Linked DNA regions of Caenorhabditis elegans. The protein of the gene in region 1 purifies or fractionates together with the protein of each later gene. This does not show direct contact. Each region holds a gene or a part of one and is shown in the gene's direction. Other genes may lie near its edges.

Region 1 (7,202 bases):
CCAATTCTGTTTGAACAGGCCGCTTCCAGAGCACTATGATTTTCTGAATTTTATCAATCTTGTGAGATGTATCCGCGAGATTTTCAGCAACCTTAATATCTTCAGAATGCAGATTAAAATATATTCTCATTTATACTTTCTTCATCTAGTCATTGCATTCATGTAGGGCTTACTATCCGATTCTTAAATTCTTTGAACTTCTCCTCTGCAAACTATCCTTTTTCACCTTCTCTCTTCTTTCATAAAAAACCTCTCCAATAACCTCACATTATTCCAGATCCCATCACAAAAATGCGCTCAATCCTCGTATCCCGCCGTTTCGCCCACGTGCTCACAAGCACTCACGCAGCTCCATCCACCTCGAACATCCCAACCACAGATTCTCATCACCTGACCCATCCGTCGGTTCATCGTCAGCACACCAACAGCTACATCCACGGAACCTCGAATATTCCGCTCAGAAATGAGACTTTGGGACAGACACTGAGAAATACTACTGAAAGAGTTCCGGATAAGGAGTTCTGTGTTTTTTCCAAATACCCAATTAGAAAGACCTATGAGGAGTTCTACCATGACGTGAGTTCCCCTTTCCTAGGCTCTTTGACAAAAGGCTGTAAACTTTCAGGTCCGTCAAATGGCAGCCTCGCTCTACACTCTCGGTCTCGAGAAGGGAGATCGTGTCGGAGTCTGGGGACCAAACTACTACGAATGGGTGGTTCTCCAGTATGCATGTGCATTTGCAGGAGTCATTCAGGTCAATGTCAATCCTCACTACCTCCACGAAGAACTTCGTTTTGTGATGAGAAAAACTGGAATGAAGGTGCTCTTTGCACCAAAGAGACACAAGCACAGCAACTATGTTCACACAATGCTTGAGGTAAGTGTAGATCATAAATTGCACGTTCTAGTCTAAAAAACTCTTCCAGGCAATGCCAGAAATGCGACGTGGCCAGCCAGGAGTTGGACACATCAAATCCCATGACATCCCAGAGCTCCGCCACATTGTGCTCTACGGAGATGACGTCCCCGTCCACGGAGCCTGGGTCTACTCTGACTTAATCCATGCTGCTGGAAGTGCAGAACGCGCAAAGCTGGAAGACATGGATCGCAAACTTCGACCGGATGAGCCAGTAAACATGCAATTCACAAGTGGAACCACTGGTCATCCAAAAGGAGCAACTCTGACCCATTTCGGGCTGAACAACAACGCATATTTCGCAGGAATTCGCCTTGGATGGGATAGAGAGGATCACAGAATCTGTATCCCAAACCCTCTTTACCATTGCTTCGGATGTGCGGTCGGAGTGATCAACGCGGTCAATCATGGACAAACTGTGGTCTTCCCATCAAAGTCCTACCATGTTCCGGATATCTTCGAGGCTATTCAAAATGAGAAATGCACCACGATGTTCGGCACACCGACCATGTTTATTGACGTGCTCAAGTCTCCACTTATGAAGCAATTCGACATCTCATCCCTTCGAGGGGGTGTTATCGGAGGAGCCCCATGTCCGATGGCTTTGTGCGAGAAGATGGTGAAGGAGATGAGAATGACTGATTTTTCAGTGATCTATGGATCTACCGAGACGTAAGTTCTTCTTTGTCGAAATGCCATCTTACAGCTGAATTCAGATCCCCTCTAGTCACCATGTCGGAACTCCACGTGGATCCATTCGAGCGAATCAAGTCCGTCGGGTCAGTGATGCCACATCAAGAACTCGCCATTGTCGATGAATTTGGAGTCCCCGTGCCAACTGGAGCTAAAGGAGAGCTCTGGTCTCGTGGCTACTCGACTATGCTCGGCTACTGGGCCGACCACGACAAGACCAACTTGGCAATTACACGTGATCGCTGGTACAAATCTGGAGATACCGCCACGATGAACGAGGATGGAACTATCAATATTGTCGGTAGAACTCGTGACATGATTGTGAAGGGTGGTGAGAACGTCTATCCGACCGAAATCGAGCAGTTCTTGCATAAGTTGGACTATGTCGCTGATGCTCATGTAAGTTTGGGAGCTTCTATCTTTGCTCTTGGGGGTCCAATCAAAAAGTTTATTAAAATATCAAAAAGTTTATTAAAATAATCTACAGAAAATTCTCTACATTTACTCAGTTGGCAACTTTTTGATACTTGTAACAACTGGCGAGTTATTCTCGTTTAAATCAAGGGCACCATGACTACTTATGGCCTGAACTTCAAACTTATGGCCTAACTTTTCAACAAAAAAATTCCAGGTCGTCGGTGTGCCAGATGACAGGTACGGAGAGAACATCTGCGCCTGGGTGCGTCTTCGCGTTGAGGATGAAGGAAAGATCACCGCGGAGCACATTAAGAAGGCTTGTAAGAGAGGAGTAAGTTATTAATCCATTATTTTAAAATATACAGTCGAAATTTCCAGATGGCTCACTACAAGGTTCCAAAGTACGTGCTCATCAAAAAGGAGTCCGAATTCCCTCTCACAATTTCCGGAAAAGTCAAGAAATTCGAAATCCAAAAGATTTCCAAAGAGCTGTTGGGTCTCGGAACTGTCAAGTCTCACTTCACAGAAGCTGTCGACAATTAAAATCGGGTTGAACATATTTCCTATATTTTAAGTTGCCTTTTCGCTGGGATTTCCTTGCTTTTTACGGTCTAACCGCTATAATTGTAATAGTGACATATTTAACCGGGTTTTTATGTACTCTTCCGTGTATTTGCCATGTATTTAATTGTGAGACTTGTACAGAAATTGCGATTTTCTCTGAATAAATAGCTTTAAAATTCAAAATTCCCTCCAAAAGTGTACAACGACACTCCGAAATGACGCATAGTCGCCTTGCTTACCGTAAATCGACACACATTTTTTTAAAATCGAAAACATTTTTTTGTTGGATTTTCTTCGTTTTCCCTCGATTTTCTTGGAATTTTGTGAGTTTTTATTGTTAAAATATTTTAAAATTGCATTAATGGTATTGTTTTAACTGTATTTTTCATATGATTTTCGATTATTCCAGCAAAATTCTTGTAGAAACGACTTTTCATCAAAATTTTCTAAAATCGATTGGAAATTAACACGAATTTTACTGAAAATGAAATTTATGTGCAAATTACCGGTGAATTCAGCGAGAAAACATCAAAAATTCTGGAAAAATAGGCTTTGAAAAAATTTTTGTGAGGAAAAATTTTAAAAAAACTTGATAAATATCATCTTTTCCCCTCATTTTTCCTGTTTTTCAGCAATTCCTCTCAAATTTTACCCGATTTTCTTTCCAGAAACCATGGCAACCTCAACATCCACCAACCCAAACACACTTCTCCCACTGGAGCTCATTGACAAGTGCATCGGCTCGAAAATCTGGGTGATAATGAAGAACGACAAGGAGATCGTCGGCACTCTGACAGGCTTCGATGACTACGTGAACATGGTTCTGGAGGACGTCGTCGAATACGAGAACACCGCCGACGGCAAGCGAATGACCAAGTTGGACACGATTCTTCTCAACGGAAATCACATCACGATGCTCGTGCCGGGAGGAGAAGGACCAGAGATTTAATTGATATCTGTGAATATTGTGATTTTCTAATACTTTCTATTTTGCCACGAATCTCTCCGATTTTGAAATAAAAATTGAAGGAAATTTTGGAAAATTTTATAACAGGAACAAAACAGAATGAAGAAGCAAAAAGAAAACAATTTTTTTTAAATCTGTTTTTTCAGCATTTTTCTCTTTTTTTTCTTATCACTTAACAAGTACTTGTACATCTTGCAGGTCTTGTAGGATCATATTCAGCACGTGTTGAGAATAGATAGCAGCTTTCTGATGCTCTAAAAAGGCTTAATTGTTCAGATCGTCCCTGGAAATAATTTTTCGAATTCTGCTCGAGCTGAAAATACAAAAATAATCGCAGAATCGCCCAAAATACGTGAAAAAGTGAAAATACTTATCGTGTTTGATAGCAACCTTAATTTGTCCTGTTAAATGACAAAATTCTTAAGTTGAACTGTATTTATTTTAAGTTTTCTGCCAATTTTTTCCAAAAAATCAAAAAAGTTTCCCGATAGTACTGTATTTCCCAGAATACGTAAATGCGTATAATGTATCATAACTGACGCGCAACCAAATTTGTTTTTTTTTTCGAAATGTTTTTAAAGCGCCTTTCGCCGTTTTGGGATATAATTTATCATTAAACTTGTTATTTTGTTGAGGAAAAATCATTAATTAATTATTTATTGCCTGGTTTCTCGCAAATTTCAAAAAGTGGGCGTGTCCAGCCAATCAAACCTAAAATTTTTAAGCTGAGCAATAAAACAACGATGTGTTTTTTTACCGTTCCGCTGTTTTTTTCCGCAATTTCTCATTGAATTTTGTAATTTCAGAAGAAAGTAATGTCTCAAATAGCTCTCCGCGACTCTTATTCCCTATCCGTGACATCAAATGAAGCGACTGTCGTCGAAATCGTTGAAGATTTGGATTCGATGAAGCTGTAAGCGGAATAAAAGATGAAAATCAAGGATTCGAGCTCATTTTCTTTTTTTTTTATAGGTCGGGGAAGAAGCCACCATCATTTTCCGATATGCCACTCGCCGTTCTTCACAATATCTTGGATCACGTGAAGCCAATTGATCGGTAACTAGAACTGTATAAATTTTTCTATAAAAAATATGAATATTTCCAGGCTTATCGTTCGCAAAGTTTCCCGTCGCTTCCGTGACACCGTCGACGATCATGATCCTGGTTTCAAGGCAATGGTCGTTCTCACCGGTGCGCGCGAAGATGTCATCCTGAAATTCGACGACTTGTGCGTTTTTTATTGTCGAAATGGCGCCGGATGCTCCATCAAGTTCAATAAGCATGGAGCACTTCGCGAAAAAAAAATCAAGAACGGAAGCTATTTGAAGCTGGCTTCTGCCGACTTAAAAATGATTATCAATAATCCGAAACTTCGTCTGGAGTCTTTTGAGCTCGATTTTGTCAAGATTCCGTATACCGCCGACCAAAAAGCAAACATGGAAGTCGTTCAAATGTTGCTGAAGTCACCTAAAAAATTAGACGTCGAAAAGCTCAAAATCGTTGGATTCCATCAGGAACAAATCCCGATGGTTCTTCAATATTTTGAAAGAGATCACATTCAAGAGCTGAACTTCGGAGGTGCCGTTTGCCTCGGACATCCTGGAAGATATGCCGAGTTGAAACAATTGAGCCATATTCAGATCCAGAGCATGAAAAAGGTTGCGGAACAAGATGCGGCGCATATCCTTGAGGCAAGTTGTGTTGGGGACAAATTTTAAATTTTGAAAAAATATATCTATTAACTTCTTGAACTAAAAAACCAAAAAATACAAAAAAATCTTATTATACCGCTTTTCAGCTTCTCAAACGCTCTGCCACCATCAAATCGATCAACATCACGTCATGTTTCGGACAGGACTTCAGTGAGGCCGTCAAAATCCTTCAGCCGAATTTCGCCAGAAGACCTAGTGGCGGCACCGACTTCTCCATCAACGGCAAGGAATTCCATGTCGAGTTTAATGTTCAAAACATTAAAATCGAAAAGAAAGTTCGCTAATTTTCTGATTAAATTGTTATATTATAAATAAACCTGTTGAGTATTTAGTTATACATTTTGATTATTCAAGAAAGTTATCATTTATCTATCATTCCTTACCCCATGCCTGGCTTCTCGCAAATTTCAAAAAGTGGGCGTGTCCGGCCAATCACGAGTGTGATTTCTTAAGCTGAGCAATAAAACAACTATGTTTTTTTGGCGTTTCCCGTCTTGTTTGTGCGATTTCTTTGAATTTTTGAAATTTCAGAAGAAAGTAATGCCTCGAATAGCTCTCCGCGACTCTTATCCCGTATCCGTGTCGTCAAATGGACCGAATGTCGTTGAAATCGTTGAAAATTTGAATCGATGAAGCTGTTAGCGAAATAAAATATCAAATTCAAGAATTCGAGCTCATTTTCTTTTTTATAGGTCGGAGAAGACGCCACCTTCGCTTTTCAACATGCCACTCGCCGTCCTTCACAATATTTTGGACTACGTGAAGCCAACTGATCGGTAGAACTGAATAACATTTTCCTAGAAAAAATGAATGTTTTCAGGCTTGTTCTTCGCAAAGTTTCCCGCCGATTCCGTGACGCCGTCGACGACCGTGATCCCGGCTTTAAGAATGCGACCATTCTCATCAAAGAGCTCGGAGAAATCGTTCTGAAATTCGATGAATTGTGCATTTTCTACCGCCGAAGCAACGTCGGATGCACCTTGAAGGCCTATAACTTTTCGGAAAAGACAATCAAAAACGGACATTATTTGAAGCTGGCTTCTACCGACTTCAAGATGATTATCAATAATCCGAAACTTCATTTGGAATCTTTCGAAGTTGTTTTGGGCCCGGATTTCGAGGGAGTCGATCGAAAGAAAACTTCAGAGATCATCCGAATTATGTTGAAATCCGTGAAAAAAGTGGACGTTGGAAAGCTCACAATCACTGGATTCATCCATGAGGAGATCCCAATGATTCTTCAATACTTTGGAAGTGATAATATTCAAGATCTGAAGATCGACGATCACATTTGCTTCGACCATATTGGAAAAGTCGTCGAGTCGAATCACTGGAAGAAGGCAAAATCCATTCATTTCATCTGGAAAAGCTGTCTTTGCCCAGTTTTCATGCATCTCACACACTTTAGTGATATTCAGATCCACATGAAAAATGTTTCCGTGCATGATGCAAACCGTATCATTCAGGTAATCTGTGCTCGGAACAGCAATTTACCTACTTATTTTACCAATTTTCAGCTTCTCCAAATCTCTGCCAACTTCAAATCGCTTAACATCACAACATGTTGCGTACAGGATTTTCTTCTTGTCGTTAAAGTTCTCCAACCAAATTTCATCCAAAGAGTTTTTGGCAGTGGCTCTACCGACTTTGCCATCAACGGCAAGAAATTCCATGTCGAGTTTGATCTGAACAACATCAAGATCGAAAAGAAAATTCGCTAATTTTCCGGTTATATTATTATATTGTTGGTTATAAACTTGTTGAGTTATACATTTAGATTTAGATTCGAGAAAAAAGTAGCAAAAATATACAAAAATAGCAAGGTAAAAAATAAATTAAGTGGTAAAATGTTTCCCAGCATTTGGATGTGCCTCATTGTAGATCTGAATCCGAGAGTTCAACATTTCTCTGGCGGCTGCGATGATAGTCTCCT
Region 2 (8,200 bases), 2.1 Mb from region 1:
ATGTATCACACAATGAACTAGGATCGGGATTGGTAAAACTGAAACTCGTGAGTGTCTTTTTGATTGGGGGCGGTCTCGTGAAATGGCACATAACTCTGTATATACGGGCAGGGATTGGGAGATGGATTCAATATGATTAATAAATATAAGTGTACTTGTATATAAATTAGGGCATTTGATAATTTACAAACATAGATCATAATCAGATCATTGAATTTAAATTTTAAAATTATAAATTAATAAAATCATTTCTGGGAATCAGTGAAGCACGTGTTGCAGGCTCGGACTGGATTCTTGGCACTCGCAATTCGGACTGATTTTGAACTGCATGGATTGCAATAAATCTTTCCACAAACTCGGCAATGATGCTTTCGAACTGTCAGAGAAAACACCTTTCCACATTCGGTACAATTAATTGCTTCTGCATCGTCAAGCCATTTCCGAGAACTGTAACGGTCGGCATCAATCTGTAATTTTTTAGAATTGAACAGGATTCTACTCCTTCATGAATACTGTCAATGGCGAGTTATTTTATTAGGTTTGAAAAAAGGAAGATGATTTTGGCGATTTTCAACTCTTTCTAATCTCCTCGTTTGAATTACCGCACTTTTTCCTCTAATCTCCACCCATAAAAACGGGTCGAACTTTAGCTTTTTTCCATTTTTACGAAAATGATTCTTTTTTGTGTTGTTTTTATATTTTTAATGAAAAAAGAGGTCCTAAATATTCAAAATTATTCTTCAAACATTTTGAAAATCGTATCGAATCCGACAAAATTTAATCGTTCGCGGAACTTTACAAGAAAATGTTTTTTTTTTTAATATTTTCGAAAGGCAAAAATTATATGCTAAAAATTACCTGCAGTGACTGATTGGCTCTTCCAAGTTCATGCATGGCTGAAAGAGCATCATCAAATCTTCTCTTATTCTCTTGTGATCTCTCTTTCTCGTATTCAATGTCACTTTCACTGCCAAGACACCGCTCGATTAGCATATCTTTCTCTGCTTGCCACATTGTTTCAGCTTTTTTCAATTCTAAAAAATTTCAAAATGTTATTTATCACTTGAAATATTTAAACTTGCCATCAAATTCTTCTTTCAATTTCTGCAACTCATCAAGTTTCTCTTGTTCGATATTTCTGACTGCAGCCAAATCAGCTTCAAGAGATTCAACGACTCGTTCTCTTTGAGTCAATCTGCTCTCTAATTCTTCGATTCTTGAATGATTCACCTTTTCAAGGCTATCAATTCTTTCCATGAGCCGTTCAATTTCTTCAGTTTTATCATTTATTTCTTTCGAAAGTGTCTGTTGAACGTCGGCGAACATGGCTTCAAATTGTGTTTTGCTGGATGTCATCTGGAATTTATATTTAATGGTGGACAAGAGTCATTTTGACATTTTGATAGAAAATGAATGAACTGCAATGACCTTATGAACAATTTCTAAATGTTTTTTCAAATGATTTTTCAACTTTGCAAAAACAAAAAAGGTTTTCTTTTGTTTTTGAAAAATTGAAAAAAAATTAAGTTTTAGAATTTTTTTATTTAACATTTATAATTGGATGTTTTAATCGAATTTTTTAATAAAAAAAAACGATTTAAAAAAGCGTGCAAGTTTCTTAAGAATTCGTTTCCTATTTTTTAGTTATGTACAAAAAAAATCTAAACGAACCCTTGCAATCGTAGTTTCCTTCTCTTGAATCTCCTTCTGCAACTTTTCCAATTCTTCTTGTTTCTGGCTCTGTGTTCCAGTGAAAACGACAAGCTTCTCAGTTTCTTCTGCTTTTTCTGCTTCTAATCGTTCGATCGTTCTCTTTCCACTGGCCATTTCTTTCTCAAACTCTTCAATTCTAGAATTGAAAGATTCGATGTGCGAGATTTTTGAAACTAGCTCATCTTCCACGACACGTTGCGTAGTTTTCAGAGACTCAATTTCCTGCAAAATAATAATTTTAAAAAAAATCAATTTCTGAACTATCTTACGTTATCTTTGGTTTCTAATGCTTCTTGAATCGACTGAATTGTGGATTCCCTTTCTTCAATATCTTTTTCAAGTCTTGACTTTTCCGTAATCATTCTCTCCAAATTTTCAGATCCTTTTTCTTCGGCATGCCTACGACTTTCTTCAATGGATTGAATTTTGCTATTGAGATTTTCACATTCTGTTCGAAGAGACTCTGATGTTGCAGTCAATTCATCACGCTCTTGAGTCTAAAAAACATTTGTTTAACTGATTCAAATTGAGGATTATCTTACAGTAGCTGTGACAGCTGATTTCAATTTTTCTATTTCTTGTGTCTTTTCTTCTTCTGAACGAATAAGCCGTTCGACTTCTGTTTTCAATTCCTCAAGCTGAGATTTGACCGAGATGAGCTGATTTTTTTCTTCGCCAGATGTCTCTTTTTCTTTCATCAACTGTTCTTGAACTGATTTCAATGTTGAAGAAGCTTCTTCATTGTCTTCTTGATTTCTAAGCATCTGAGCCTCGAATTCGTCTCGTTTCGTTTTCCAATGAGCCTCCTTATCACGCATCTCCGCCATTAGATTCTCGACTTCTTGTTGTTTTTCGGAAATCTCGTTGCTCACCTGAATTACATACTAAAAAGGCCGACACACTATGGATTGTAAAGCTCAAATAGGTAAACAGGGTTAGCGAAAGCTCGTCAAATTGGTAGTTAAAAAATAATAACGGACAAGACGGGACGTTATCTAGGGCGATAGAAAAGGAGTTGTGATTGATATTTGGATAGGATCACACTTGGGGAACGTGCTTGCTTTGGACCATTTTTTCCAAAAACTTTTTTTTGCAATTTTCCGCTTGTTATTACCGTTTTTCGATTTTTTGACAAAAACGAAACATCGAAAATTTTCGTTTTTTTTTCAATTTTTCGACTTCCAATTCTCCGATATTTAGAAAAAATTTTTCGGTTTTTTTTTTAAAGTTAGCTTTAAATTTTGGTCATTGTTCTTTTTTTTGAAGAAAATTTATGTTTTTTCTCGTCAAAATAAACAAAATAAGATTTAAAAGATCATATTTTTTAGTTAATTTTCGGAATGTTTTTTTTTTCGGAAAATCTTAACTTTTTTGTATTTCGATTTTTAAAAGGGATCTTTGGTACAATTATTTTTAAAAACTTTTTTTCAATTTTCCGGATGATATTACTCGTTCGCGAGCTTTTGTGTCAAACTTGCGGTATCCCGATCTCGACACGAAAATTTTTTGTTAAAGTAGTTTCAAACTTTTGTTGCTACGTAATTTTCATTGAGTTTTCATATTTTTTCTCACAATTTGCTACATTTTTTGTTAAGTTTTTTTTTTGTTATACTTGCGGTTTTTTCAAAACAAGTAGATTTTTTATCGAAAAATTATGAAAACAGTAAAAATTTCGCAACAACAAATGTTTGAAAATACGGTACTCTTAACAAAATTTGTCGTTTTCACAGTCTCCTCCATCAAATATTTTGAGATATTTTTGGTTCAAAAATTGCGTCTAAGTAATATTCAAATTCTAATATTCAATTTAATTTGAAAAGCTGTAGGTGCTGTTAGAAGACATAACCAGAATTACACTGACATTTCAAAAGGAATCCAAAACGCAAGCTAACCTTCTCTACCTGCACTTTGAGTTCTTCTATGAACGAATTCGATTCTGTCAATTTTCCCTTTAGCTCGGAGAGCTCTGATTCTTTAGTTGAAACAGTTGTATCTCGACTCGAAACTGAAGCTTCCAATTCTCTTGCTCGTTTTTCGGCTTCTTCAAGCTTCTGAACTGCGTCTTCAATTCGTTTCTTGTTCTCTTCCAAATGTGCGTCTTTCTCCCGAACAATCTTTTCGCGATCTTCACTCTCTTTTTTAATTGTTTCTAAATTCTTTTCCGAATTCACAAGAGCATCCTTCAACTTTAATGTTCTGTCAGTTGCCTTTTGTCGTTCCTCTTCCATTTCTTTTTCCATTTCAACAAATCTTTCTCCTTTCCTTTTAATTTCATCTTCAGCTTCAGCAAGTTTCCTTTCGAATGATTCTTTTTCTTGTTTCCATTTTTGTTCTTTGTCAGTCCTTGATGCTTCAGCATCTCTCAGCTTTTTCTCCAATTCTGAAATTTTGGCTTCAAGTTCTCCGGAAGCTTTCTTAGTTTTTTCAGACGATGTTTGGAGTTCATTCGTTAATTTCACTTTTTCCTGTTCAAGTTGCTCGATTGCCATCTTGGCTCCACCTTCTCCGGCTGAGATTTTCTCCATTAAATCTTTCGAGTTTTCTTGAAGTTTGTTGAGTTGGAGAGTAAGATTCTCGACAAGATCAGCGTGTTCTTTCAACTCGTTTTTGTACTTTGTTGCTTTTTTCTCACTTTCTGCCAACTTTTCTTTCAAATCATTGATGGACGAGTCTCGTTCCGAAATTTCTTTGTTCTTTTCTTCCAGAAGACTTCGTTCCTTATCGAGAAGAGATCCCATTGAGGCGAGCTCGTTAGTGAGGTCAAGATTTGCCATTTCAAGCTGAAAAATCATCTAAATTCAGCTGGAGTTTTTCCTATTTTTTCTTTGGGTTTCTTTTAAAGAGTACAATTTTCATTCACTAGAAATGCTACTCAGATATGAAATTTACAATTTTTGAGCAAAAAATACGGTATTCAGTCTCGCCACGATCAAATTTTCGAAAATACTGTAATGCCAAACTCTCGTTACTACTCCCGTTTCAAAAAAAAACACACTTCCGCAGTAGCGAGTTTAAAATTACAGTACTCTTTAAAGGCGCACATCCTTTTCCATTTAACAAAAAAGTCGTGTCGAGACCGGGATATAGAATTTTACATAACTTTCTCACCGTTTTTAGTCTTTCCCCTTGCACTGTTACTTTTTCCTCGAAAACCGCCTCAATTCGTTTCCTCTCCGCTGTATTCTGCAAACATTGTTTATAAAACCGGCAAATTGAAATTGAGTTTCAGGTTACAGCTTTGCCTAATACGATAAAATAAACAAAGAAATTAACTAACCCGCTCGAATTTTGAATTCAGGCTTATCATTTGTTCTTCATTAGATCCATTGATATTAGATAACATTTGAAGAGCATCTTGTGATTCTTGTACTTTATCTTCGAGCCTTTTAACGTTTTGCTTGTTTTCACTTAATTCGAACACGTTCTCTTCGATTCTGGCTTCTAATTGAACAACCCGTTCATTTCGTTGTTTCAATTCTTCGGATTGAGCATCATACGATATTTGCAACTGCTTCACAGTTTCTTCTCCTTCGCCAATTTTCTTTTCCAAGTTCTCATTTACGATGTGCTGTTTTTCACGTTCCATGCTTAAATTACGAATCGAATTTAGGTGTTCCTTGATTTCGATATCTTTCTCCTGAGAAATAGCATCCATTAGTTTTTGAGCATTAACTAGCTCAGTACGCAAAACATTCACATCATCTTCAGAAGGCCTCTGATCGAGCATCTTTTCAAGCCGAGAAACTTCGATTTCGTACCGAACAACATCTGATTTCACAACTTTCAGCTCTCTTTTCAGATCCTCCATTTCAACTTTGCCCGATTCAGATTCATCCGTAATTTCGCGCATTGTGACGCTCATCTGTTTCAATTTGGCCATCAAATCTCCACGTTCTTGTTTAACTTGTTGCAATTCTCGGGACTGCTGGCCGCTCTCTTTCTCAAGTTCCAGAAATTGCCGAGTAACCATTCCTTTGTCGGCTGTGAGAACTTGAATCTGCTGTGCCATGTATGGAATCTCATCTTCTGTGACTTCTGAAGCTATTGCCATTACCGATTTAATATTATCAAGTTCTTCTTTTATCCGTTCAGCAAAACGTTTCTCTTCGTTAACTCTTATTCGAAGCTCTTCAATTTCTTGATCTTTTGTAGCAAAGGCGAGTGGAGCTTGCTGAGGTGGAGTGTAATCGGGATGATTTCTGTTGGCTGATGTCTGAAACTATCAAAAAATTCTATTGAATCAGAGATTAATCAACTTACGTCAGAATGTTCTTTTTCAAAATGAACAGTAAGTTCATCAGGACCACCGAGCTCTACCATACACATTGGGCACAAGAACCCTTCGATCTCCTGATCATTTTCTGATTTTTGTGATTGCGACTGTGAACCTTGACTTGAAATACTTGGTCGACTGTTGTTTAGTCGGCCGTCAATCTAAATAAATTATCAAAATGGAAAAAACTAATTTTTTTACAAAACGGAAAACTTACATCATTCGCGACTTGCGAAACTTGTTCTTTCAACCTTCGAAGCATGTGTTCTGGAAAACAACAGTTCATCGATGCGATAATTCGAATGTAACGAACGGAGATTTAAATGTGATACACGAAATAGATTACAACAAATTGAGATATATCATCAGATCGATATAAACGAAGAGGGAAGGCGAAAAGCATTGATTTGACAACAAAACCGGCGCATTTTCTTCTCTTTCTGTCTCGAAAGATGATTCAAACATAGCGCAAAACAAACTGGCAAGTGGAATTCTCTGTTGGTCACTCAAATAAATAACCGGATTCCCTCTGATTTCTTTTCGTCTCTTCTCTCTCGTCTGGCAACGATGCTCCGTTTTGACGCAGTGCGCCTTGTTTATAATTAGTTTTGAATATTATTTTTTCATTAATTTTCTGAATCTTTGCAATTCTTCGACGATTTAACATAAAATGGTTAGTTTTCCTTTTAATTTTGTGATATAAATTGAAAAAGTACATACTCAAATTATTAAATGTGTTATAAAACTGTTGGTTGTCTCGGATATGAGGCTGTTCCGCTTAAATGTAATTTAAATTAATGGTTTAGGTATGTAGAAAGTCCCGAATTTTTGTTGTAACTCACGAAATATTACTATTTCAGCTGTTCTTCTCATTCTTCAAATCACTCGTAGGAAAGGACGTTGTCGTGGAGCTCAAAAATGATTTGAGGTGCGGTTTGTTAAATCAGTATATACAATTTACAGAAAATCGAGAAAATAACTGGAACCCATGTAAAACTTCAATTTCAAGACATTTCTTAAAAATTGGTTCACAAAAAATGCTTAAAACTTCTTGGGTTCAATATTCTGAATGTCTAGAAAGAATTCGAAACTCCCCGAAAATATGTATTAGCCAGACGGAAATCATTTTCAACGATACACTTCCACATAATGAAAATTCCGAATTTCTCGAAATCTCTTTAAACGCAAGTGCCATTCCTGGGTTTGAATTTAAATTATGAAATTCCATTTAAGATTAGTTCTGCTAATTTTTATAAGTTTTGAAGTTTAAATCTCACAAAATTAATATTTAAAAAATAATTATCTTATTCTAATCTCTCAAATGCAAATTCTAATAATTTTTCAGTATCTGCGGAACTCTGCACTCGGTCGATCAGTATCTCAACATGAAGTTGACCGATATCACCGTCTCCGATCCAGAACGATTTCCACATATGGTCTCTGTCAAAAACTGCTTCATCCGCGGATCCGTCGTCAGGTACAATTAGTTATCATTTTTCATAAATATTTCAAAATGATTCTTTAAAGGTACGTGCAACTCCCATCCGATCAAGTCGACACACAACTCTTGGCTGACTCCTGCCGGAAGGAGCTTCTCGATTCAAAGGCAAAACAGTAAATCCACGTGTTCATTCCTCAAAGTTCATCTCATTTTTTGTCAAGTTTGATATCATCTCATTTAAAAAAATATTTATTTTTATAAAAAATTCGTAACAAACAGGTTTTATTCACAGTTTCAAATGGTGTTTATTGCAGGCGTGTTCATTTTGTTTTCTCCATTGAGGGCACCGGTATGATAGTAGAAAGTATTTGATTGCTAAATAATTCCAGAATATTACGTACTGATGGCCACACCGTATTGTCCATAATGAGTCCAATAGGAGATGTTAAACGTGAGAAATAGTACAGGGAACATGACTCGAGATATAAGATCTGCTCTTTTCGACTTGTCATTCCATTCAGTCTTTGTTTTGATCCATTTCCAGACGCTATTTGTTTGACGGCGATTCATTCGAACTGTCATTACTTCTCGTTCTTGTTCAGCAACTTCTCGTGGTACCCACACATCGTTATGTGAATTTTGAAGGAATGGAAGTTCAGCTTTCTCTCTTTCAGTTCGAGCCCCTGAAAATTAGCAAAAAAAACGTAGGAAAAATTCTGAAAAAAAATCCCAACTGACTCTTATTAGCATCTTGCTTGTTTGCAATATAAGTC
Region 3 (9,908 bases), on another chromosome or scaffold:
CTAGTATTAAAAAATTTTACCCGGTTAAGATTTTTGCAGTTTCAATTCCTATTCGTGAAATCAAAATTCCAACATTTCAGAACTTTTTGGTATATCGAACGACAGAGAAGATACATCAAGTGAACATGTCCTCTGGGACTCTAGATTTTTTTTAAATAAAAAAGAACTTACCAATGGAGCAGCCTCAACCATTGCAACTGATAAAAGTGCAACGGCAAGTAGCGACTGTGTTACAATTGAGGACATTGTCATGATGGAAAGATCCGAATTGAGAAGACACGTTTAGCGTATTGAAAACGGAGAAGTAGTCGCCCTTCCCTTTGCTGCTTCTGACCAGCTCAGTTTTTTTTCGACGGCGTCTGAAATGATAGAGTATGGAGACAGCAGACACATTGGCCACGCCTTCTTTTCAATATCGTTGAGTGCTCTTGGCTTTTTGCGCATGTGTGCTCTACACGACGCCTTCTAGAGCCAAAAGATTAGAGGATTAGAGAAACGAGACAATATTGAAGAATAGACTAAGAAGAGAAGAGACGTAGAGAATTAAAGAACAGGGATGGAGAAGGAGAAGCCTTAATTGTTTCATGCTCCAAAAGAGATGGATCGGATGAGTAGTTGACTGAAATTGGAATAAAGAGATAGAGGGACGACGGACACTGCTGGACACAAAAAATGGACGAAATAAATTAGGTTGTACAGCTTTAAAGTTCCCAAAGGGATATTAAGACACACAACGTTCAGTAGGATCCAAAACAATTTTTTGTCGAATCAAGCACAAAGTACAGCTCGTTACAGTATACTATAGTTTGCAAAAATTGCAGGGAAAAACTTCAGACACGGCTCATATTTTCTTGTTTAACGAAAAAAAAAAGGCATCAATATTTTAACACAAAGTTATAAAAATAACCACTGAAACAGTTCCCAGTCCACAGTAAATTAGAACTCTTTAAGATTGCAATTTTGTGTCGAAAATTATTTTTTGTCAAACAAACCAGGAGCCTGTATAACGTAATTTTTCCGAAATCTGCACCAGCGGGGGGGGGGGGGGCGGATTCAGTAAATCCATTCATAATAAATCAAATTGGCATAATACATAGATATCATGAACTCCGAGAACTTTTAGATTTTCGGTAACTGTCTGCAATGGTTTATACAATTATTTGACATTTGTTTTTAACTCATATTATTGACGTACGTATGTACATTCTGAAATTATTAATTTTTGGAAAAGTCTATAATGGAGGTCGAATATTTCCAGTGAGCAGGTGTTGTTTGCCATAAGTTTTGCCAAAATAATGGTGTTTTTCAGCGTTACAGCAACCTTTTGAGTTTTTTGAAATTTTAATTGTCTTATTTAATTGCCCGTTTATTGTATAGATTGAAATATATGCTCCGACTTGAAAAAGGTGAATTTAGAAGCCAAAATCTTATTTAATTCGTATTTACAGGTGTTTTCATATTCCTTTTTCAAAACGGAAAACATGTAATCTTCTTGACGATTTTCTTTCATAATCGGAAATTTTGGAATCTACAATTTCTGGCGAACATCCAAAATATTCTTGTTATTCACGCTTGAATCTTTTTATATTTATTTAGGGAACACAACTTTGTGGTAGATAAATGATAGACTTGGGTGAATATATATTTTAAACATACAGTGCCATTCCATCCCATAAAAACAGCATATGATTCGTCGAGACCAGTTCGAAAATTTAATGAAAAAAAAAACTACAGTAACTGATTGTCGCAAATATCGCATGCATGCTCATGAGTGGTATTTTAAAAAAAGTAATATTCTAATACATATAATAGAAAAAAGTAATTTTTGTTGGCTGTGAGCGCGTAAAATCTCAATTTCCGTTTTCATTTTCAGTGAATCGGAAACCAGCATTCTAATCATAATGTTAATATCAATAAAACTTAGCTTGAAGCATAAAATACAATTGTTTAAAGGAAAAGAGTATTAATGTGTCGGATATGGCATTATATATTTGATTGGATACTCGAGAGAAGGATAAACTTTTATTTTTTTTGCAGAATGAGGGAAAGGGAAAATATGACCTTTATTCTTTGTCGGTAAGGTTTTGTCGTGAAGAGGGGTTGTTTATAGATTCATCCGTTCCCGAATTTTTAATAAACCTGAACATTTTTAGAAGTCAAATAAAAGAGAGATTGATGAATTATTGTTACATTCAATTAGCGGGAACAACTCTACACAAGGAAACATCGTAAAACCACATTTGAAATACCGCCAAAAGAACATGGAGTCTCGACACGAATGACACGCGCTGACGGATGGTACCGTACCATCTCTTCACTGCGTTCCACCGCAAAGCTGAAGTTTTTGTCTTTTGACAAATTTTTTTTGTTGTTTTTTTGCGAGTTTTTTTGCAGATAAAAGCGAAATTTTTGTTAACTTGTCGCTATTTCACTGAATAGTTCATAAATTTTAGAACTTTGCACCTTTTATTTCAAGATATTATTCGGAATTATGTTTAAAATATCATAAATTTCCCAGAAACGTTTCAATCTTGCAAAATTTTAGCTGTTTCCTTTTTCGTGTTTTTGGATAAAAAGTTTTCGTATTCGTATTTTAAAGTATTTTCAGGTTTAACCTGCTGTCGAATAGTGGAACATTTTCTCAATGCCTCATCCTAAGCTCACTCCAAAATGCGAAGCACCCCCCGAAAAGGTGAGAACACAAAATTATCCTTAAAATTCAGATTTGTATAATTCTCAGAGACTTGCACATTTGGAGATTAGATTCAAAGATCGCAGACATATCATTCCTCCATTATTTCATAATGGCTGGGTGGGACGAAATGAAGATCGAACTTTACTCAACGACACAATCATTGAATTTTATATGTGTGATTGGATGCGTTTGGAAGTGTTCGATGAGGCTACGTAAGATATGAAAAACATTTTTATGAAATTAATGTTTTCATAATTACAGAAGAGCCAGTAGTCACGTCTTTCATTCATTCTTCTTACCGAAAATAAAGACTTGTTTTAAAGATTTTAAGGAGAATCCGCCACGGAGATCAGAGGTTTGTAGATATTTCAAAGATTGAAAAACTTCAATGGCGATTTCATCAAATGATATGACATTTCAGCTCGCCAACCACTATAACAGATTCTTCCGCAGCAAAAATGATGCCGAAACGTTTCTCAAAAAAGATATTCTGCTAATCCCAGTTCATCTCGACAAACCGAAACATTGGTAAAATATTTTTAACCTTTACAAATCTGAGAAAACTATTCGATATTTAAAAGTTCTAAATTTACTTCAAGTTCCATCTAATTGTTTATTTTTAGAGTTTCAAAGAGTTTGCAGGTTCCTCGTGATTGTGCATAATCCATCAGGCGCGGTTCGTCGAATTTCCGACGTCAATATACTTGACGCGACCAATAAAGTGAAGAGTAGACGATTGTCAAGACGGATAACCGGTCATGTTAATTGTGATGAAAATGCCGGTGAATGTCGAATTATTATCATGGATAGCCTGGTTCATTCAAAAAAATACAGGTAAGCAAATATTTTAAACTGCTATGCATAAAATAAAATTCAGAGAAGTTATTGATAAGACCCATGATTCCACTTTTGATCACATTCGTCTTTGGCTCCTGATGTCCGCAGCTGCAACTGATGTTGATATGTTTTGCACGAGATTCCGGTTAATTGTATTTCTTGATATCCATCATATACCTAATAATAATTTCAGAAAAGTTGTGTGTCAGAAGCTTCCGCAACAAAAAAATTCAGTGGATTGTGGTATCTTTATGATGGCATTCGCAGAGTATTTTACAAAATACAATACTGCGTGGCAGGTACACAATACCAATTGTTTTCAGAAAAATGTTTATTTTTTACAGAGCCTGCCGACAGATGCTCTCGCTGATTTGAAGATGGACGACGATATCAAGTCGTTGTTGAATAGTGAAACGCCACGACAACGTCTTGATGAGCTATTTCAATCACTGAAAGCTTGATTTTTTCTAATAACACTGTAATTTTTCACTCTTTCCTTCCTTCCTTGTGTTGTTTTTGTTCAAATATGATTCGGGAACTTAATATCGAATCATGAAATTTCTGTTTTTGTTCTTTTTTCTGATTTCTGAAAACTAATTGCATGCCAAACTTCTTTTTTTTTCAAATTTTTGCTGTAAAATGAAAATTTTGTTGCCTTTATTCGTTGTATTTAATTAAATACAACATCCCCTGGTAGAAACCGTGCCATGTATCTGCGAAAACGCGCGCCGCACATTGCGGTTCAAGCCACGCCCACTTTTCAAACGGCTCTGCTTTCGAATATTATTTTTAGATCTAATTTTTCTACACTTTTTACGACGGGAAAGGTTGAAATACATGGTTTTCGTATAATTCCAGTCTTGTGAACTTATGTCTCTTCAATATTTGCAACATCTCAATTTTTGTTCCATGAATATATGTGTTTCAGCCGTGTTCCACAATGCACTTGTACAATTTGACACTACAAGGGCAATCGGCCATCAATCAGGCCATTCAGGGCAATTTCTCTGGAACCCCCAAGGCGCAGGTATAAAAGTTAGAGAATTATATGATTGAAAATGTGTTTCTTCCAGGAAATCGTTGTTGGGCGCGGATCAGCACTGGAGTTGCTCACACTGGATACAGTTACAGGCAAAATAAAAGTAAGAAATTGATAAACTTACAGATTTTGATAAACGAGAATTGATTTTTAAGGTTATGTGCCACCAGGACATTTTCGGAATAGTTCGATCGCTTCTCGCTTTCCGTTTGACAGCTGGAACTCGAGATTTCATCGCAGTTGGTTCAGACTCGGGTAGAATTGTGATTTTACAATATAACGCTGAAAAAACATGTTTCGAGCGGCTGCATCAGGTAACCTTCCGCGTGGAAAGCATATATTTTCACTATTTTCTTTAGGAAACTTTCGGAAAAACTGGATGCCGTCGAATCGTTCCAGGCCATTTCTTGGTTGGAGACCCACGTGGACGTGCATTAATGATTGGAGCCGTTGAACGTCAAAAGCTTGTTTATATTATGAATCGAGACTCTGAAGCACATTTAACAATTTCATCGCCACTTGAAGCTCACAAGCATCACACATTGTGTTATGCAATGGTTGGAATCGATGTGGGATTTGAGAATCCTACTTTTGCGTGTCTGGAATTTGATTATGAGGTAATGAAACAAGACAGAATATTTATTTTGAAGACCACTACAATTTTTCGTTTCTATATAATTGTCGAAGAAGGCAACTTTCGTTGTGAAGATTTTGTTCAAAAAGGTTATCTCGTAGATTAGGATAGCAAACCGGACGTTCGATGAAAAAAATCGGGCGTCCAGTTTGCCAGCTCATGCCAGCAATAGACATTATCTCAGTGAAAGGTTCATTGTAATGTCAGATTGATTTGAGAAAAAAGATAATTAGAATTTGAGAGTTTTGTTAATTTTTAATTATGTGAAATCCAATAATCAGCTCTAATTTTCCAGGATGCTGACAACGATCCAACCGGAGAAGCAGCAAAACGAACACAACAAACGTTAACCTTCTACGAGCTTGATTTGGGATTAAATCATGTTGTTCGAAAGTATGCGGAACCTCTAAATGATCCAGGAAACTTGCTTATCGCAGTTCCAGGTGGTAATGACGGTCCGTCTGGTGTCATCGTGTGCTGTGAAAACTATTTGGTGTACAAGAATCTTGGTGATCAACCAGATATTAGATGTCCGATTCCAAGAAGAAGAGTGAGATTTCTTTTCTTTTTCTTTCTGAATTTCTCCCCAAATTATTTTGAATTCAATAATTTTTTACAGAACGAGCTCGATGACGCAGACCGAACAATGCTCATCATTGCGACGGCTACTCATAAAACGAAAAATATGTACTTTTTCCTTGTTCAAGCTGAAAATGGAGATATTTTCAAAGTAACACTGGAAACTGATGAGGATCTTGTGTCGGAGATGAAACTCAAATATTTTGATACTGTACCGCCTGCGAACGCTTTATGTATTCTGAAATCCGGATTCTTGTTCGTGGCTGCAGAGTTCGGAAATCAGTTAGTTTTTTTTTTTAATTTTATTGAAATCTATTGTATATTTTAGTAATCAAACGTTTTACAATTAAATTTATTTCAGTGAGCTCTACCAAATCGCTAGTCTGGGTGAAGGAGATGATGACGAATTTTCATCAGCAATGGGATTCGGAGAAAACGATGCGGCATTCTTTGAGCCACATGAGCTCAAATCTTTGATTCCAATTGATTCAATGGATAGTTTGAGCCCTCTTACAGATGCTGTCGTATGTTTTACGAGTTTTAATGGCGGGTTAAGATTTCAAAAAAAAAACGATCCAAATTTTGCTAAAATCTGAAATTTTGCCAACTTTTTTTTTGTAGAAACTGGAATACGGACACATTTTACTCCGATAGGAATTCAATTTTGTTCCTCTTTAATTTCTAATATGAAAGTATTCGAAAAAAAAACACTTACATTAATTTTTTTTTTTTCATTTTAGCACCAGCATCATGTTTCAAACCCATTTTTAAGTTTAAAAAATGAAAAAGTCAAAATTCTTTAAAAGCTGAAAAATCGGAAAAAAATGATTGTTGAATATCAAAGCTAAAACGAAATGAATTTACAGATTGGAGATATTGCTCGAGAAGATGCAGCACAGATTTACTCACTCGTTGGACGTGGTGCTCGATCTTCTTTGAAAGTTCTTCGAAATGGACTTGAAATTTCTGAAATGGCAGTTTCTGATTTGCCTGGAAATCCGAATGCTGTGTGGACTGTGAAGAAGAATATCGAAGGTTTCATTTAGAATAAAAATTAAAAATCTGACCAATTTCTTAAAATTTAAAATTTCAGACCAATATGACTCATATATTGTTGTTTCCTTTGTCAATGCCACACTTGCACTAACAATTGGAGATACTGTCGAAGAAGCATCAGATTCAGGATTTCTTCCAACTACACCAACTATTGGATGTGCAATGATTGGTGATGATTCTCTTGTTCAGGTATATTCGAAAAGTTTTCTGTTTTAATTATCTTTTTTTTCAGATCTACTCGGAAGGTATTCGTCATATTCGGGCAGATAAGCGTATCAATGAATGGAAGGCACCACCACGGCGACAAATTGTCAAGTGTGCTGTTAATCGACGACAAGTTGCAGTTGCATTGACAGGAGGAGAACTTGTGTATTTCGAATTAGATTTGGTAGAATTTTACAGAAAATAACTTAATTCAAATTAATGATCATTTTTTGCAGAATGGAACATTGAACGAGTTCACGGAACGAAAACTATTCAACGCAGATATTGCATGCATGACGTTCAGTGAGATTTCAGAAGGAGAACTCAATTCTCGTTTTTTGGCACTCGGAACAGTTGATAACGCTGTTAGAATAATTTCTCTCGATCCAAATGATATGCTTATGCCATTGAGTACTCAAAGTCTTCCATGTCCACCAGAATCTATTCTTCTTATTGATACACCGAATGAAGATGGAAAAGGAGTTGCAGCTGTTCATTTGAATATTGGTTTGCAGGTTTGTATTCTATTACTAATTTATGAGTTTTTGATTCTTGAATAATTAATAAAGGTCTACTAAACAAACAATATTTTCAAAATCGCAATCGACTACGTTTTCAGAATGGATGCCTCTTCCGTAATACTGTCGATAATGTCACTGGAGCTATTATGGATACCAGAACACGATATCTTGGTACCAGACCTGTAAAACTTTTCAAAGTACAATGTCAGGGACGATCTGCGGTAAATTTCATTATTTTTAAAGTTCAGAAAAGTATTTATTTTCATTTTTTGTAAATTTCAGATTCTCTGTACATCTTCCCGTTCATGGCTTCTCTATCACTTCCAACGCCGCTTTCATTTGACACCACTCAGCTATGCGAATTTGGAATACGCGGCAAGCTTCTGCTCAAATCAGTGCTCAGAAGGAATTGTCGCCATTTCTGCCAGTACACTCAGAATTATTGCAGCCGAGAAGCTTGGAGTGGCATTTAATGTTCAATCATTTGAACATAAGATGACACCACGTCGTGTTGCTGTTCATCCATCAATGCCATGTCTAATTGTGATTGAAACTGATCATGCGTCTTATACAGAAGTTACCAAAAATATTAAGAGAAATCAAATGGCTGCGGTAAGTGGCTCACAAGAAATCAGTTCGCAGTTTTTTATTATCAGCAAAAATGAAAACTAAAGCTTATTTTTTAGGACGTTGAAGCAATGGCATCAGACGAGACAGAAGCTCAACTTGCACAAGAAATTGCTACAAATCTTCGTGAACGACGACTCGATGAGCGAGTGTACGGAGCACCACGAGCAGCTCGAGGAAAATGGGCATCTGCTATCAGTTTAATTTCTGCGACTTCTGGGGATAAACTCTCATATTTTGAGCTCCCACAAGATGAGAATGCAAAATGGTTTGATTTTTTCATTCAGAAAAATAAAATTTTAATTGAATTTGTTTCAGCGTGGCTCTTGTGCAATTCTCGAAGCATCCGAATGAAGCTATGGTGCTGGTTGGTTGTGGAGTTAATGAAGTTCTTAATGTACATGACATTGATCCAAATGATACATCCATTCGGCCAACTAGAGGATGTGTTTATACATTCCATCTATCAGCAAATGGTGATCGATTCGACTTTTTGCACAGAACGGAAACACCATTGGTAAGCTTTATAGCTATTTAATTTTCATTTAAAAATGAATGAGTATATTACCCAGGGGAGAAGTTTTGCACTGATTGCTTCAAATATACGATAACCGTTCTCGACGCGAAAAATTTTAAACTATGAAAAATCGGATTCCGCATCAAAAATGTGTACTGTAATTTCAAAATTTCAAAGAAATGTAGATGTTTCGTGTGTTGATGAAAAAACATTTTTTTTTCGAAAAAAATGAAATTTTGATTAACTGAAAAATTAAAAATGTTTAAATGCTTAAGTTTTCCCAAAAATCACACTCGTAATTATTTTTTTTAAATCAAAATTAGTTTTAAAATTAAAATTATGTTTTCAAAATAACGCTTCAAACTAAAAAAATAAGTTTTTCTAATTTTTTCAGTTTTTCCTTTTTTGTTTTCGAAAAAATCGTGTCGAGACCGGGTACCGTATCTTTTTGGTAACTTTTTCTTCTGGGGATGACTCAGTTATTTTAATTTTATCTTCTAAATTTGTATTCAAAATTGAGATTTTTATGCATAATTTATCTTTTAAAAAAATTAAATTTCAGCCAGTGGGAGCAATTCATGATTTCCGTGGCATGGCACTCGTCGGTTTTGGTCGATTCCTCCGAATGTACGACATTGGACAGAAAAAGTTATTGGCAAAGTGCGAAAACAAGGTCAGTTTCTTTCTTTTTTTCAAATAAACCCCCAGGAATGTTCATTTAAAATGTGTGAAAATTGACAATAGGAAGGGCCGGAAGGCAGCATGTGTGCAGAATTTGAATTTGATTAGTCAGAGAAAGGAATGACATACAGACACAGATGAGGTCGGAAGGATTCAACAAAAAAGTGAAAAACTAGAAGGAAGTATCGAGAAAAATCGAAGAAAAGGAAACCATGGATTATCAGTTTTTAAAGATCATTCTTGTTATTCTTCTTTCGGCTAAAGTTCAGTTCGTTCACGGAGATTAAAAAATAATGTTTCAATAAAAAACTACAAAAGGGATTCACTACAATGCCTGCAAAGTTAACTTGTAAGAAGTTTTCAGATAAATTCTGAGAGGGACTCAATTTTATAAATGGCTAGAGTTCTCCGAGTATTGTGGTAGAACATTGGATAGTGAAAAGTGAGGATTTCATTTGATTTTCCATTGTTTTCGAAACATTTAATAACGAAGAAATACCCTTTTTGGTTCATCTCAA
Region 4 (7,709 bases), on another chromosome or scaffold:
GTTAAGAACGTGCTGACGTCACATTTTTTGGGGCGAAAATTCCCGCATTTTTTGTAGATCAGAACGAAATGGAACATTCTGACATCACGTGGGACCCCGCGCGCGCGACATTAAAATCCAATAAATTATTCAAATTTAAATTTTCAGAACGGTGACCTCTGTATCAGCATCCTTCACTCGCCAATCGACGATCCACAAAGTGGAGAGCTCGCGTGTGAACGCTGGAACCCGACTCAAAGCGTCCGAACCATCCTTCTCTCGGTCATCTCACTGCTCAACGAGCCGAACACCTCGTCACCGGCCAACGTCGACGCGTCAGTGATGTACCGTAAATGGAAGGAGGATCAGGACCCGGAATACGCGAAAATCGTCACGAAGCAGGTGGAAGAGTCGAAGAAAGTCGCACAGAAAGATGGAATTCAAGTGCCCGAAACGATTGAGGAGTACTGTGTGAAATGGGCTCCACCACAACAGGATGATGTCTTTGACGACATTGATTATAGTAGGGTTTTCTCGAAATTTGAGCGATTTTGGCGTAAAATAGCGCTTTTTAACGGGAATTTTACAGTCACATTGGCCAGAAAATGATAAAAATCGACATTTTTGATGTCTAAAGTGAATTAAGACTAAAAATTTCATCTTCTACGCTAAAAATGTCTTATATTTTGCGTTTTTTGCACTAAAACTGGCTATTTTTGGTAAAATTCAAAAATTGTCAGTTTTTAGTCGAAATATCCGCAAAATTATACACTTTTTTCAAAAAAAATTGCCGATTTTTCAGGTAAATTGCCAGAAATCGCACGAATTCACGGATTTCTGGCTTCCCTTATAAATTGAAATGGAAGAGTTTTTGCCGAACTAGTCCAGGCCACCATATCTGGGGTAGATTTACGGCGCGTTGCGTGTCGCGCCGCGGCTCGATTTTAGTTGTAAAACTAAATGTATTTGTCCGTGTGGAGTACACGACTTTCCCACACGTTTTCCGGCGGGCGATTGTCAATGGAGCGCGAAAAATTCAATGAGGAAGGTCAGAACCCCGTGACCTCAAAAACCTCAAAAAAAAGTCTATTTTTCGCAAATTTAGTTGTAAAATTCCCGAGAAAATTGGATTTTTCAGTTAAAAACCCGGATTTTTGCCAAATTTTCAATTAAATATCGATTTTTTTCAGACGACGATTTCGGGTGTGACTATGACGACGATGAAGAGGAGGAGGACGAGGACGAATGCGGCTCGGACTATAATGATGATGACGAGGATTCGGGACAAGGAGAAAATTAGTCAATTTTTTTTAATTTTCTATAATTTTTTCCCCATTTTTTTTCTCAATTTTCTCAATTTTCCAACCTAGAAAAATTCAAATTCATATCAAATATACCACGAAATCTTGGCGCTTCTTTCAAACAAAAAATCTTCAAAATCCGACTCAACTAGTCCTTTTCTCAATGCATTTATATGTACACTTTTGCCCTTCCCAAGCAGCTATCAATTCATATTTGTGTTATACTCAATATTTTTTCGTCTGGAAACAGTTTTTTTTGTCCAATTACACACACACACAGGCTGATCACAGTGCACTTTCAACTATTTTTGTTTTCTATAAATGAAGCCTTCTTTTTTCTAAATTGTCTCGGAAAATTGCAGATTTAGAGTTGAATTCTCAAAAAATAAGTCGATTTAATCCGAAAAAAACATTTTTTTCGCAAGTCTGCATTTTTGCGTCACGGTGTTTGCGGACACTGTAGAAAATAATTTTTTTTGAAGCAAAATCGCAATTTTAACGCATTTTTCTCTTGATTTTAACATATTTTTACTCTAAAAACCCGTGAAAGTAATATTTTTTCTCAATTTCAGCACTCTAGAAAATGAGCAAACGACAGAATCCCGCCGAATTCCTGAAGAAAGTCATCGGAAAGCCGGTTGTGGTGAAGCTCAACTCTGGCGTCGACTACCGTGGCATTCTCGCATGTCTCGACGGGTTAGTGATTGGGAAAAATCAAAAAATCTGATTAAAAACACCTGAAAATTAATTTTTCTTCCAGAAAAATTACGAAAAAATCTAATTTTTCAGATATATGAACATCGCGCTCGAACAAACCGAAGAATACAGCAACGGACAACTTCAGAACAAGTACGGCGATGCGTTCATCCGCGGGAACAATGTGCTCTACATCTCCACATCGACGAAATAACTTTTTTTTGATTTCGATTTATTTTCCAAATATTTTTCCCTTTTTTGAGCTATTTTGAGCAAATTTCTTGTTTGATACGTTTGGATCTCGAATAAATTTGTGTTTTTTTTTTCGCCGAAAATCTGAGTTATTTCGCTCGAAAACAGGCTTTTTCAGCAAAAATCGAGAAATTTCTTGGGTTTCCTCACCGTTAGACGCGTCGCGGTCATGCGTCACGTGCGGTGGGTCTCACCACGATTCGATTTACGGGGAAGCATTTTCGAAAAAAAGAAGACATTTTTAAGTCAATTTATCGCGTTTTCATCGATTTTTCGAGCTTTTCCGGTGATTTTTTCGATTTTTCAACTCAAATTTCGAATTCTACGTATTTTTGTGCCACTTTCACTGCAACAATCGCAATTTTCAGACAATTTTCAAAAGGATAATGCCACCCGGACCACTTCCCGCCTTAGTAAGTTGATTTTTTTTTTGATTTAAAAACTGATTAACTTTTGCTCTCCGAGTGGTAAGTGATAATTTGTAATGATATGCGATCACACTAAGGCTAAACCGCCTTGCGATGATCTTTCCACCCGCACTGGAAAAGGAGAATTAGGCGGTTTTCTGCCGCCCGATATGTGATCGCACATTTCAAATGATACCATTCAAAAACTATACCTAATTTCATAGTGAAAAGACCAAAAGAAGATAAAGAAGAGCAAGAGAGAGAGAGACGTCGCACGAAATCCATCAGTCTTCTGTCCCCCCATCGATTTTCCGAAAATTGAAAAAAAAACAGTTAGTTTCAAAGTTTGAGCGTTTGTGTGCTCATTTTGTGCTCGTTTCTAGCCTTAAAATTTCGAATTTTCCATCAAAAAACTCATTTAATTTCAGATGAAAAGCGAATGGCTCAAGTGTCCGCGATGTAAGACGAAACAGCTCAAGCCAGAGCTCATCAGCACCGAACCCAATGGATCCGATAATATTTGGTGGATATGTGAGGCTGTTCAGGTAGAAATTCATGAAAAACTGAATTTATATTGGGAAACCAGGCAAAAATCGAGCTAAAAATCGAATTTCAGGTTGTTTTGGCTCGTATGAACGGAGAAAATCAGCTTTTCATAGCAATTTAACTGAAAATTATTGTTTTTTATATCAATTTTCGGTGAATTTCCGATGTTTTCGACGATTTCTCCCCTCAATCACTGGATTTTCACAAAATTAACTAAAAAATTCCGGTTTTATTGAATTTCAAGTTCAAAACTTGAAAATTCTGTGGGGAAATTGCTTTAAAACATGCCTATGGTACCACAATGACCAAATATCATAGTAAATTTTTTTTTTAATTTAGAACATTAAAAAAAATTTTACTATGATATTTGGTCATTGTGGTACCATAGGTATGTTTTAAAGCAATGTCTCCTCAGAATTTTCAAATTTTGAACTTGAAATTCAACAAAACGGACAATTTTTAGTTAATTTTGTGAAAATCGAGTAATTTTGAGGCGGAAAAATCGTCGAAATCATCGGAAGTTCACCGGAAATTGATTTTAAAAAACATTAATTTTCAGTAATATTTCATAATCACGCTCTCCTCAAAGCCGGAGAATTATTAGAGCGCGCTTGCTGCGCTTCGCATTTCTGCATCCGCGGTAATTTGACTTTCCACTGAAAAAAGCAGATATTTCAGATTTATCGAATTTTTAGCTTTTAAAATTTTTTAAATGCATCTTTCGAACAAACCTTTTGTTAAACAGTGAAAATCGAAAAATGACTAAAATGAAATTTTTCGTCCACTGGTTGTGAAATGGTTTGAATTTGAAGAAATCAATGGGATTTTTCTTATTTTCTAAATATTTTTCTATTAAAAATCGGTTTTAACCCATTTTTTTGACCCTAAAAGTCACAAATGTTTTAAAACCGATTTTAATAGAAAAATATTTAGAAAATAAGAAAAATCCCGTTAATTTTTTCAAATTCAAACCATTTCACAGCCAGTGGACGAAAAAAGTTCATTTTAGTCATTTTAAATTCGATTTTCACTGTTTAACAAAAGGTTTGTTCGAAAACTGGAGAAAAATTTTTTTTAAAGCTAGAAAATTCGATAAATCTGAAATATCTGCTTTTTCAGTGGAAAGTCAAAATACCGCGGATTCAGAAATGCGAAGCGCAGCAAGCGCGCTCTAATAATTATTCGGCTTTGAGGAGAGCGTGCATAATTACGACTTTTTTAAAAACTAAAACTGCCGATTTTAATCATTTTTTATTTATTTTTTATTTGCAGAAATGTCAATTCCCAATGGATATGCCTCCACACGTCTATCATGTCGTCCAAACTGCCTTCCAAAAGCGTCAAAAATGCATTCCCCTGCCACGCATTGAGAAGCTTCCCGAGAAATATCAATATCTGTATCCCCTGACGTTCGCCAACTCTCGACCGGTCTCCCGTTGCTCATCAGTGGCTGGAAATTCTGAAAATTCTGAAAATCGAGCCGCCAGAAACTCGTTGGACGGGACGACGACGACGACGACTACGATTTCTGAGAAATCCAGTGGTCAGAATAGGCTAAAAGCTGAAAGTCTTCATTCCGAAACTGTTAATAATACAAATACCCCTTCAACGTCTTGCTCGGCAGAAGCTGAGCTTGAAAATCAGAGTATTGATGATGTGGAAATTGAAGAAGAAGAGGCCGTCAGGCCGTGTAGGACTATTAAGCGACGGCTTAATGATTCTGGAAAATCGTGGGCTTCGTTGATAGAAAAAGTTGCGGCCGACTCGAAAGCGTCGAATACTATTATAAATATGGAGGTGAAAATTTGGAACTTTTGAGCTGAAAAAAATTTGAGTTTTCCCGAATTTTTAAGCGGAAATTTGAATTTTCCTGGATTTTTAAACGGAAATTTGATTATTTCCGAATTTTTTAGCGAAAATTTGAATTTTCCCGACTTTTTAGTTGAAATTTAAACTTTCCCAAAGTTTTAAACGGAAATTTGAATTTTCCCGAACTTTTTAACGAAAATTTGAATTTTCCCGAATTTTTAAATCTAAATTTGATTTTTCTCGAATTTTTAAAAGGAAATCTGAATTTTCCCGAATTTTTAAGCGAAAAATTGAATTTTTCCGATTTTTAAGCGAAAATTTAAATTTTCCGAAATTTTTAATCGATAATTTGAATTTTCCCGAATTTTTTAGTGAAAACTTGAATTTTCCTGGATTTTTCATCGATAATTTGAATTTTCTCGAAGTTTTCAACGGAAATCTGAATTTTCCCGAACTTTTTAACGAAAATTTGAATTTACCCGAGTTTTTAAGCGAAAAGTTGAGTTTTTTTCGAATTTTTAAGCGGAAATTTGAATTTTCTCGAAGTTTTCAACGGAAATTTGAATTTTCTCGAAATGTTTACCAAAAGACTGAATTTTCCCGAATTTTTTAGTGAAAATTTGAATTTTCCTGGATTTTTAGTTGAAAATTCGAATTTTCTCGAAGTTTTCAACGGAAATCTGCGTTTTCCCGATTTTTTAGCAAAAATTTGACTTTTCCCGAACTTTTTAAAGAAAATTTGAATTTTCCCGAATTTTTTAGTGAAAATTTGAGTTTTTCCGAGTTTTTTTAGCAAAAATTTGAAATTTCCCGAATTTTTTAGTGAAAATTTCAGTTTTGCCGAATTTTGGAATGAAAATTTGAATTTCTTCAAAGTTTCCCGTATTTTTGAGCGAAAATTTGAATTTTCCCGATTTTTTTACTGGAAATTTGAATTTTCCCGAATTTTTAGTGAAAATTACACTTTTCCTGGATTTTTAATCGATAATTCGAATTTTCTCGAATTTTTAAACGGAAATTTCGATAATCAAAAAATTGGAAGAAAAAAAAATCGCGATTTTCTGGGTTTTCTGGGTGAAATCCTTCGAATTTTTGCTCAATACTGCGAAAAAAACGCAAAAATTTTCATTAACATCTCCCAAAAATCGATTTTTTTTTTCAGGAATCCGAATTATTCCGTCGTATGCAGGAGTTTTTCGATGCTCACTACTTCCAGCGTACTCCGATGACCTATAAGCGTTCAAGAGCGGCTTTACGGTTGGAAATGCTCAACAAATGGCAAAAAATCGATAATTTTAGACTTCCCTATCGGATAGAAGACATTGAAAATTGTCTACAATCAATAACTCGTGAAGATTGGAAAACTGCCCGACGTCGAATGATTAATTTCACTGTAGAAGAGAAAATGGTGGCGAGAAGTGGAAATGCGGATGAGTTGCTGAAAAGTGTTGGAATTGATTTGCAACAAATTAAGAAAGCTGTCGGAGAGAAAGTTGGCAATGTTATGGTACGGATTGAAGAAGAGGAAAAATGACGAAAATCATGGAAATTTTTGAAAAATTTGGCCGAAAAAACGAAGAAAAACCTAGAAATTTGATTATCCTGCGAAGATTTTGCAAAATTTTAAAAAATTTGGCATAAAAAAACAAAAAAATTCGATAAAAACCCAAAAATTTGATTTTCCTGCGACGATTTTGCAAAACTTTACACAAATTAGCCAAAATTCAAAAATTCGCAGAATCTACATGAAAAAATAATTTTTTTTCTCGAAAAAATTGCTTTAAAACGCGCCTATGGGGTCATAATGACCGAATAGCATGGTAAAACAAATGCAAAAAAATTTTCTAAATTTTTTATGATATTTGAAAATTGAAAAAATCACAGTTTTCCCCCTAATTCCGATTCGAATTTCCGCTAATTGAATTTGTTCGATGGAGTGTGCTTGCATTATTTTCATTAATTTTTTAAAAATTTATTTTCATTATTTCACTGATTTTCTTCATTTTTTGGGCGTTTTTAATCGGAAAATGAAAGAAACATACGGGAAAAATGCAAAATGTTTATTAAAAAGTAACTGAAAATGCCTAAAACTCTGAAATTATACGATCCGACGATGACGAGCCTGAAATAAGTATTATTCACAGTTTTAGGCATTTTCAGTTACTTTTTAATAAACATTTTGCATTTTTCCTGTATGTTTCTTTCATTTTCCGATTAAAAACACCCAAAAAATGAAGAAAATCAGTGAAATAATGAAAATAAATTTTAAAAAATTAATGAAAACAATGCAAGCGCGCTCCAACGAACGAGTTCAATTGGCGGAAATTCAAATAGGAATTAGGGGGAAAACTGAGATTTTTTCAATTTTCAAAAATCATATAAAATTTAGAAAAAAAAATTTTTTTTGAATTTTTTTATTATGATATATTCGGTTATTGTGGTATCATAAGCATGCTTTAAAGCAATTTCAAAAAAATCAAATTTTAAATTTAATTTCCGAAATTTATGGGTTTCTGTTTTCAGACATTTTTCTCGAAATTCGCTGAAAAATACAAAAAATGCCGATTTTTCCTAAAATTACGCAGTTTTCGATTTTTTTTACAAAATTGCCAATTTTCCTACAAAATATTTGAATTTTTCCGATCTTTTAGTCAAAAAAAGTCGAATTTTCCAATTTTTTTTTCCACAAAAATTTGATTTTTTCCGATTTTTTACACAG

What was found.
Region 2: the proteins of lsm-5 (region 1) and gut-2 fractionate together in Caenorhabditis elegans (co-fractionation; one large-scale study listed by BioGRID). This does not show direct contact.
Region 3: the proteins of lsm-5 (region 1) and teg-4 fractionate together in Caenorhabditis elegans (co-fractionation; one large-scale study listed by BioGRID). This does not show direct contact.
Region 4: the proteins of lsm-5 (region 1) and lsm-6 fractionate together in Caenorhabditis elegans (co-fractionation; one large-scale study listed by BioGRID). This does not show direct contact.

What each region holds. Positions count from the first base shown.
Region 1 is NC_003283.11:15,567,117-15,574,318, forward strand, and holds lsm-5 (U6 snRNA-associated Sm-like protein LSm5), read left to right. Parts: upstream 1-3,263; coding exon 3,264-3,539; downstream 3,540-7,202. Other genes in the region: acs-2 (Medium-chain acyl-CoA ligase ACSF2, mitochondrial), read left to right, coding at 292-576, 626-877, 927-1,588, 1,633-2,008, 2,241-2,357, 2,405-2,569; fbxa-95 (F-box domain-containing protein), read left to right, coding at 4,373-4,470, 4,530-4,613, 4,663-5,248, 5,356-5,553; fbxa-94 (F-box domain-containing protein), read left to right, coding at 5,899-5,906, 5,962-6,045, 6,090-6,735, 6,787-6,990; Coiled-coil domain-containing protein mdt-28, read right to left, coding at 7,105-7,202.
Region 2 is NC_003283.11:13,491,120-13,499,319, forward strand, and holds gut-2 (U6 snRNA-associated Sm-like protein LSm2), read left to right. Parts: upstream 1-6,621; 5' UTR 6,622-6,656; coding exon 6,657-6,659; intron 6,660-6,846; coding exon 6,847-6,914; intron 6,915-7,331; coding exon 7,332-7,463; intron 7,464-7,513; coding exon 7,514-7,604; 3' UTR 7,605-7,700; downstream 7,701-8,200. Other genes in the region: eea-1 (FYVE-type domain-containing protein), read right to left, coding at 246-467, 859-1,034, 1,083-1,356, 1,672-1,935, 1,983-2,210, 2,256-2,585, 3,606-4,493, 4,822-4,896 and 3 more; avr-15 (Ig-like domain-containing protein), read right to left, coding at 7,821-8,110, 8,166-8,200.
Region 3 is NC_003279.8:6,810,058-6,819,965, forward strand, and holds the start of teg-4 (Splicing factor 3B subunit 3), read left to right. Parts: upstream 1-4,453; 5' UTR 4,454-4,472; coding exon 4,473-4,559; intron 4,560-4,605; coding exon 4,606-4,674; intron 4,675-4,726; coding exon 4,727-4,885; intron 4,886-4,930; coding exon 4,931-5,188; intron 5,189-5,500; coding exon 5,501-5,755; intron 5,756-5,824; coding exon 5,825-6,066; intron 6,067-6,145; coding exon 6,146-6,308; intron 6,309-6,650; coding exon 6,651-6,819; intron 6,820-6,877; coding exon 6,878-7,029; intron 7,030-7,072; coding exon 7,073-7,228; intron 7,229-7,280; coding exon 7,281-7,559; intron 7,560-7,663; coding exon 7,664-7,786; intron 7,787-7,847; coding exon 7,848-8,177; intron 8,178-8,251; coding exon 8,252-8,460; intron 8,461-8,510; coding exon 8,511-8,709; intron 8,710-9,271; coding exon 9,272-9,382; intron 9,383-9,908. Other genes in the region: K02F2.5 (Conserved secreted protein), read right to left, coding at 172-252; ulp-5 (Ubiquitin-like protease family profile domain-containing protein), read left to right, coding at 2,645-2,692, 2,741-2,907, 2,957-3,050, 3,117-3,223, 3,338-3,529, 3,573-3,677, 3,726-3,831, 3,877-3,993.
Region 4 is NC_003279.8:1,699,509-1,707,217, forward strand, and holds lsm-6 (U6 snRNA-associated Sm-like protein LSm6), read left to right. Parts: upstream 1-1,852; 5' UTR 1,853-1,863; coding exon 1,864-1,976; intron 1,977-2,069; coding exon 2,070-2,190; 3' UTR 2,191-2,300; downstream 2,301-7,709. Other genes in the region: ubc-3 (UBC core domain-containing protein), read left to right, coding at 148-502, 1,170-1,279; Y71G12B.13 (RING-type domain-containing protein), read left to right, coding at 2,615-2,641, 3,064-3,180, 4,454-4,978, 6,153-6,247, 6,290-6,497.